Oryctolagus cuniculus: one gene and its partner. The main gene of each other region encodes a partner of the protein of the gene in region 2 in a complex. Links are inferred from orthologs where the notes say so. Each region holds a gene or a part of one and is shown on either strand. Other genes may lie near its edges.

The links.
Region 1: the proteins of KRAS (region 2) and PLAAT3 are in contact, whole or in part, in a crystal structure (PDB 7C41), measured with the Homo sapiens proteins. The link is inferred for Oryctolagus cuniculus from reciprocal best matches to the Homo sapiens genes KRAS and PLAAT3. Residues at the interface, in NP_001356715.1 of Homo sapiens: Ala11, Gly13, Lys16, Ser17, Tyr32, Asp33, Pro34, Thr35, Ile36, Thr58, Ala59, Gly60, Gln61, Asn85, Asn86, Lys88, Asp92, Tyr96, Lys117; in NP_001121675.1 of Homo sapiens: Leu65, Tyr66, Asp67, Val68, Ala69, Gly70, Ser71, Asp72, Lys73, Tyr74.

The regions. Positions count from the first base shown.
Region 1 is NC_091432.1:7,561,642-7,565,967, forward strand, and holds the start of PLAAT3 (phospholipase A and acyltransferase 3), read left to right. Parts: upstream 1-1,318; 5' UTR 1,319-1,456; intron 1,457-1,595; exon of another isoform or gene 1,596-1,702; intron 1,703-1,844; 5' UTR 1,845-1,906; coding exon 1,907-1,921; intron 1,922-4,326. UniProt on the Homo sapiens protein: Exhibits both phospholipase A1/2 and acyltransferase activities. Shows phospholipase A1 (PLA1) and A2 (PLA2) activity, catalyzing the calcium-independent release of fatty acids from the sn-1 or sn-2 position of glycerophospholipids.
Region 2 is NC_091440.1:122,525,219-122,529,024, forward strand, and holds part of KRAS (GTPase KRas), read right to left. Parts: intron 3,347-3,806; coding exon 3,187-3,346; intron 1-3,186. UniProt on the Homo sapiens protein: Ras proteins bind GDP/GTP and possess intrinsic GTPase activity. Plays an important role in the regulation of cell proliferation.

The DNA of each region.
Region 1 (4,326 bases), on a different chromosome or scaffold from region 2:
GCAGCGTTCATCTACTCATTGCCGGAAGGTTTGGGGCTACCCGGTGGCTTCAGACCCAGTAGTTATAAGTACTTCCTGGGGCTGGTGTCATGGCCAGCAGGTTAAGCCACCACCTGTGTGACGTGGGCTTCCCAAATCAGCACCGGCGTGAGTCCTAGCTGTTCTACTGTGATCCAGCTCCCTGCTAATGAGCCTGGGAAAGCAGCAGAGGATGGCCCAAGTAATGGGGCCCCTGCACCCACAGTGAGAGAGCCAGATGGAAAAAATGGAAGAAAATAAATAAAAGTACTTCCTCAATGCTAGAATCCTCCTTTGCCTCTGAATGGTTTTATGTTTAATACAGTTTTGTAGGGGTGCTGTGGTCTGGGTATGAGTTTGGGTGTCCCCCAATGCTCACGTGGTAAACGTTTGGTTCTCCGAGTCTCACGTTAGTGGTACTGAGAAGGTAGAAGCTGGATCCGCCCGGATGTTTAGAGGGGGCCTTTGGGAGGTGACCACCCTTCCCAGCCCCCGCCCCTGCCCCCGCCCCATCACAGGCAACTCTGGCACAGTCATGCCACGTACCCCTCTGATGATCCACATTCCCACGTGAACGTGTGTTCACTCTCGTGGAAGTACACCCTGCCCTCCCCCCGGGGGGGCACCGTATGTAGGTCTCTGCTTTGAATTCTTAGCTGGGGGTGGGTGGGGGTGGGGCAGGCTCCAGGAATAAGAAGGGCACCCAGGCCTATCACCCTGAGAACTCAGCCCAGGTCTCCCCCGTGGGTGGCAGGGACCGGGTGACTTGAGCCATCATCTGCTGCCTCCCAGGGTGCGCTTGAACAGGAAGCTGGGATCCAAACCCAGGCGCTCCCAGATGGAATCAGACATGTGTGTAGGGGGTCTCAACCCTTACACCAAACGCCCGACCCCACCCACTTCTGTAACACAAATTGCCCTTGGCTTGGGAGCGCCAGCAGGTAATGAAAGACCCCAAGAAGCAGGAGTGACTTCTATACTCAACTGGACCAAGAATAGTAAGGAGAGAAGAAGCCATTAAATTCTGCGGGAGAGGCTTGAGAGACAAGAGTCGTTTTCACGGTTTCTCCTGGCCCAGCTCCGGGAGAACAGGGTGTGTTCAGGAGTATCTTCTTGCACCTGCTGTTTCTCAAGCCCCTGGGACAGCCAGCATGGCGGGCTGCTGTGTCCGGCTCCTTCCATTCGTCAGCCGGGCGCTCGCTCGCAGCAGGCGGGCAGAGCGCCCTGGGAATGCCCCTGCTGTGTGGCCTGGGCTCCGGGCCGGAGAGGGGAGGGGAGGGGCGCTGCGGGCAGGGCGGGGCGAGCCGCGGGCGGCCCGCTGTCCCCAGCGGCCTCCGGGGTAGGGGCCGGGCCAGCTCGCGCCGGCCGGGGCTCCGCGGCCACTCAGCCGGTGTCCGTCGCCGCGGTGGCCGCTCTGCCTCCCTCCGGAGTCCGGCAGGTGGGTGGGGCGGCTCCTTTCGGGGACACCAGGGAAAGGGGAGGCGCAGCAAGAGCCGCGCAAGGTGCCGGAGCGCTGCCGGGCGGGGCTGGGTAAACAAGCCGGGCGGGCGGCCTGCAAGCGGCGGCCGCGCTGGCGCGCACGGAGCCGGCGCCCTGCTCGCCCGCTCACCCGCCAGGGGTGGTCCGCCCGGGGCCAAGCGCAGGGCGGGCGCGGGGCCAGCGAGGAACCTGCGAGGAGAGGGAGGTGGTGGCTTCTGCGGGGCGCGGGGACGAACCTCGCGCGGGCTCCCCTCCTTGAGCCCCTGGTGTTGGGGTGGAGGGCGGGGGGACTCGGGTCGCTGCTCCCCGGTAGTGTCATCATGAGCCCCCGCTCCCCCGTGTCTCAGGTGTTTCTGCAGCGAGTGAAGCCAAGTCCACCCTGACCTGAGGGTCCACGTCGGGACGGAAGATGCGCGCACCCATCGTAAGTGCGGGTGCGGGTGGGGTGGGGGGCGTGTGTGGGTAGTGACCAGAAGTCCTGGAGCCCCGCAGAGAGCATCCTCGGGGCTGGGGGCACCGTCCACCCCTCCAGCACCTGCAGGACCTCAGGTGTCGGCTGTGGGTGGGAGGCCACGTGTTGGAACTGTTGCTGGGTCCTTGCAGGGGCGCAGGAGCAGGGGGCGAGGCCCCTCTGCTAAGGTCAAACCAGGACAGCAGACATTGTCAGAGGCTGGCTGTGCTGCCCCCGGGGCCTGGCTGCGGGTCTCCCCCCCCCCATCCCCACCCCGTGGTGTCAACTGACTCACCTCCTGACCACCCCAGCGGGCCCTCTTTCTGACCTGCTGTGCGGCTGGGAAATCCTGAAGAGGCTTGGCACAGGGCCGGGCTGGAGCGTGGCGGGACCCCAGCAGCAGAGCGATTTAGAGTACGGGTTTTGCATTTTGATCAAGCACAAGCGCAGGAGTGCTGGGAACAGCGTGGCGCGCCGGGCCATCCTGCAGAGCTTCCAGCAGTGTCTGGGGACAGTGGCATGGTTGACCTGCTCTGGTCTCGTTTACGTGGCAAAATTGTTCCCAGGAACAATCATGAAATGAAAGGTAGTGAATGTGCAGGAAAGAAAAAGTGGCAGGAACCCAGAGACTTGGGCCCTCATTGCTGCATCCCCGGGTGGGCTGCGGGGTCTGAGCTGCGGGGTCTGAGCTGACAGGTTAAATGCCTGTTCCGCAGGAGTGTGTTTTTGAGAAAAGGGAAGAAATGTATTCCTACCTATAGGTTGGTCGCAGTCATGAATCATTAGAATGCTACCATTTCTGTTTTGAACACTTGCAAAAAGTTGTCCGTGACTTTGTCAAGATGGATCTTTGCATATTCGTATTCAACAAGTAGAGTTAATTTGTCAGCCCACAGTTGGTTGAAGAATATTACTTATTAATTATAATTTTGAAAGCTGCGTTCACTTGAAGCAATAAAATGAAACAAAGCCTTAAGTGTTAGGATTGGTCTGGCAGAGATTTATGAAAATTCTGTTTCATAATAAATTCCAGACATTGCAACACTATCCACGTTTTTTTTTTTTAAATCAGTTCTAGCAGCTTTTAAATATTTCCACACTCACAACATTTTCACTAAGATGTCTGCACCAGAAAATTCACCCTAAGTTTTTATTTTACTTGGCAAAATTCCCCAAGTTTTTCTGCTTCTGCAAAAATCCGGGGAGAATGGCTGAATGACTGAACAGCACGGACAGTTCGTTAATCCTGGGCTTTGGAGGAAGGCAGCTCTCGGGAACACGAGACGAGCCAGCCTCTTCGATGTTGCTCTGGTTCCTCCTGGCGCTGGGAGACCCAGCTGTTCTGTCTTCTGTTTAAACACAGGGAAATGTAGGACTGCAGGGCGTGGGCTGGTCAACTGTATAGCTGAGCTGGAACCATTCTGAGCTGGGGAACTGACTGGAAACAGACGTGAGTGAATGAGGCTGAGTGGAAGTGGCTGACTGGATGATGGGTGCTGTTCTCTTTAACTTCCGTGGAAGACACCATTTTTAAAATAAAAAGAAGTAGACAGGAGTGTTTAACGCTAAGTGGAGACACCCTGGGAACGCAGACTTCCTGTGTCAGCCTGCCTGGTTCCAGCTTCCTGCTAGTGCAGACCCTGGGAGGCAGCAGCACTGGCTGGGGTCCCGGCCATCCACGTGGGTTGAAAGCGGCCGGCAGGTGCATTAACCGCAGCCAGGCTTCCGGTGGGTTCTGTTGCTTTTGTGTTTCCCACAGACAGCTCGCCCCTATTTGTCTGCTCTGGGGAGTGAGGCTCCCCCTGGGGTTCTTTGGGCTCTGCCAACCTTAGCTGTCACTCAGGTGCCTCCTGGAGGGGAGGGGGAGCTGGTGTGGGAGAGGCTGCGTGGACACAGCTCTGGTCCAGCCGTCCAGCCCGTGGCGCCACCTGGCCTGGCCCCTCCCTGCTGCAGGATTCCAGTGTGCTGGAATGAGCGGGCCTGGAGTTTGCCTTCCCTCCTCCCGCGACCTCAGCCTTGACCCTGGGGTGTGCAGAGCACCTGCTGCAGAGAAACAAACTGAAACTGAAACTGAAACTGGAGCTGCAGCCCAGGGAGATGGGGCTGGGAGTCCAGGCTCCTTCCTGTGCCCACTGCTTTCCCGGCTTCTGAGCTTGCTGGGCCTCTGGGACATCTCTGGACCCTTCCCAAGTAGCAGTGGGGGGTGGGGGCGGTCACCTCTGAGAGGCCGCCGCGGGGGAGGGGCTGGAGCAGGAAGCAGCGCGACCCCTCCCGGCCAGCACTTCTGCTGGGTGCTGAGGTCAGGGCTCACTGGTCCTTGGGCTCAGCACAGCCACCACGGAGGTCCCAGAGCAGGGCTGTGTTGGGGGAGGCAGCAG
Region 2 (3,806 bases):
TGATTAAAGGCTACCTTATTTCAAAGCAAATCAATCAGTTCACTTAATAAAAAGAACTCAACAGAAATCAAATGTCATTATGGTTTAGCAACATAAATTTCATAAATACATCAATAAAGTAGGATATAAATCTAAGATATGCTAGACATTAGGTTAAGAAAGAGAAATATTCTTTCATATTATTTCATTCTACATTTTAATTATGGTCCACATTAATGTCTACAAAGCAAACTTCACTTAATCCACTTCTATATCATACTCCTTTAAAAAAAACAACAAAGAAATCAAGGCCTCAAAACAGCCTAAAACTAAAAATATATTTTAAAAGAAAGCCAGGGTAGGGGCCAGCACCGTGCCGTAGCAGGTAAAGCCTCCGCCTGCCATCCTGGCTGCTGAACTTCTGATCCAGCATTCTGTTGTGGCCTGGGAAAGCAGTAGAGGATGGCCCAGTGCTTGGGCCTCTGCACCCACATGGGGGACTCAAAAAAAGCTCTTGGCTCCTGGCTTCAGACCAGCCCAGCTCCAGTCACTGCAGCCATTTGCAGAGTGAACCAGTGGATGGAAGACCTCTCTCTCTCTCTCTGCCTCTAACTCTGCATTTCAAATAAACTAATAAATCGTTAAAAAAAAAAAAAAAAAAAAAAAAAAAAAAAAAAAAAGGGCAAGCAAGCCAGGGTAGTTTTCTGAGTAGTTATGAATAGCTGAATGCTTCAAACATTACAGCATTAATAACAAAACACCAAAACACCAAGAATCAGCTACCTGGTGCTTCTGCGGCAGCCATCAATCAACAGGGAAAGGAGTGAAGAGCTACACTGTGGTACTAACAAGGAAGAGTCCTTTTAGTATCATCTAACTACCTTTCTACTTAAAACTGTGGTCCATGGACCAAAACCAGCATCACCTGGGGTTTGCTGGACATGCAGACTCACAGGATCCAACCTAAGCCCATTGATTTAGAATTGAGATCTTAATAAGCCCTTTGATCTGCACGCACTGTAATGTACTAGCACTTCTCTACTGTTTACCTTTTTTATGTGAAATGCTAACAAAAATGTTCAAAAGACTAAAAAGAAATTTTTAAAATCTATGAATAATACAACTACAATAAAATATTAATAACAGTATAGATGGCTTGCTAATGTTTTCAATAAAAATTCTTTTCAATTTTTTAAATCCGAAATTTTTTCATAAAAAAAATATCGGAGGGCTGACGTCACGGTGCAGTTGGTTAGGCTGCTAACTTGTGACACCACCATCCCATATGAGCATCAGTTCAAGTCCCAGCTGCTCCACTTCCCATCCAGTTCCCTGTGAATGCAGCTGGAAAAGCAGCTAAAGATGGCCCAACTGCTTGGGCCCCTGCCAACCCATGTGGGAGACCCAGATGGGGTTCCAGGCTTCTAGCTTTGGTCTGCCTGTAGCTCAGCCTCAGCCAGTGTAGCCACTTGGGGAGCAAACCAGCAGGCAGAAGATCTCTCTCCCCTGCCCTGCCTGTTCTCTCTCTAATGCTCCCTTTCAAATAAATAAACTAAAAACAAAACCAAAAAAAGGACTGGAAGAAAAAGCTATAAATATTATAATCATGTTTTCTGAGTACCTTCTTTGCTGAAGAAAATTGAGACTAGTAAGAAAGACTAGAGAAAGACCAAAAACAAAACAAAACAAAACAAAACAAAACAAAACAAAAAAAAAAACAAACCACCCTAAAATTTGGAACTTGGGAAGGAATTTGAATGAAATCCTAATTACTCTGAAGTGAAATATACCAAGTCTTTACTTAAATAATTTATCTGCCATAGAAGAAATATGTATATGATGGAAAAACTGCAAAAATTCAGTTTTTAATTCCAAAACAAACACCCAAATAGTGTACCAAACCAGGAGGAGCTACTTATGATCTCACTGGAGAAGTAACTCATAAATAACAGCTGAATAATTTACACTTATGTTTTTATCCCTTTACAAAATTCAACAAACATCTAGAATGCCTGCTTTTCTGAGTTTAACTATGTAATGAGTTGTTTATCAATTTTTTAAATTCCTAGCAACACAAGAGTTAAATTCTACAAAACCATCTTTGTGGGCTCACAGGTACGCATAACCAGAAAAAACTCCAAAAAAAATGTATGGAGCATATATTGTACAAGTTCTTACAGTCTATGCATGAAAATTGTATTCTATCACATCTTTGTGTTCCTTTCCAGAATTTTCCTTTTAAATGTTAAACTCTTATTTCATACAAACAGGGTAGATAGTATTAGCTAAAATTATTTTATTTTACCTAGAGAAAAAGTTTTTTTAAAATGAAGATGACTGGAACCAGCATTGTGGCATAACGGTTTAAAAGCCGCTGCCTACAACACTAGCATCCCATTTAGACACCGATTTGAGTCCCAGCTGCTCCACTTCTGATCCAGCTCCCTTGCTAATGTGTCTGGGGAAGCAGTGGGAAGATGGCTCAAGTCCCTGAGCTTCTACACCCACATGGGAGACCAGGATGAAGTCCTAGTTTCAGCCTGGCCTAGCACTGGCCATTGCAGCCATTTGGTTAGTAAACAAGTGGATGGCAGATCTCTCTCTCTAACTCTGCCTTGCAAATAAATAAAATATTTTTTTTAAATGATGATTTCTTTAACAAAATTTAGGTTCTAACTGGGATTAATTTTTGCCAGAACAATGCACTAAATGAATAATGGAATTTCTATTCACTTTCAAAATACTCTTTAATGAGAAAAAAAATGCCAAAGTAAAATTTCTTCAAATATAACAAAATTCAATCTAGAAACACATGACATGATACTCTTAAAAGCACAAACTCAAAATCTGTTCCCCTGTTCTTTGTCTTTATGTAACGTGAAATCGCACATTTCTTGAATGTAAGATGTGCTCAGAGCAAGGGAAATTTCACTGTGGAAAGAAATCAAAGCGGAAAGTACTACCATAACACTGCATTAAGAAGCACTGTCTGCTCAAGAGAAGGTACCGTTCTATATGCTATTTTAACACACTGAGAGAAAAACTGAAAATCACATCAATGACAGAATAGTAATGTTATCACATATGAACACATTAATTTCCTTCTCCTACCATTAAAATGATGCTAAAATATCTATTAGTAAAGTATGATTCATGATTGAAATATTTTGCAGAAAATGGATTTGTATTGATTCCAGCTTTACTTACCTGTCTTGTCTTTGCAGATGTTTCAATAAAAGGAATTCCATAACTTCTTGCTAAGTCCTGAGCTTGTTTTGTGTCTACTGTTCTAGAAGGCAAATCACATTTATTTCCTACTAGGACCATAGGTACATCTTCAGAGTCTTTAACTCTTTTAATTTGTTCTCTGGGGAAGAAATAAAGTTATAGCAGAGCATTAGTAAGGCAAAAATATTTCCAAAATTGTCCACAACTTCTGTCTTACACATTTTGGATAAAAGAAGACTTTTAAGGAAATTCCTAGCTTCAACCATACCAATCTCCCTTGCTTCTCCTTCTGGTTATTGTTTCCCTCCACCTTATACAGAGACCTTATATATTACTTAAAGATTAACTGCCTAGAAATTAATATGCAGGTAGATCGCAAAGATAAAATACTGAAAACTTCTAGACTTAAAGTGTTATGCCTAATTTCAATAGCAATAATCTTAGAAACATGTATGTGGTTCAAAGTTTAAGTATAGAACTGAAAATATTTTTACAAAAACATGAATTATAGCATTAACATAATTTTCACATTACTTTCTCAATAAGGAAAAGTGAAAAAGCAGAAAGATTTTAGTTTTTATGTGGACAACACTGCTTAC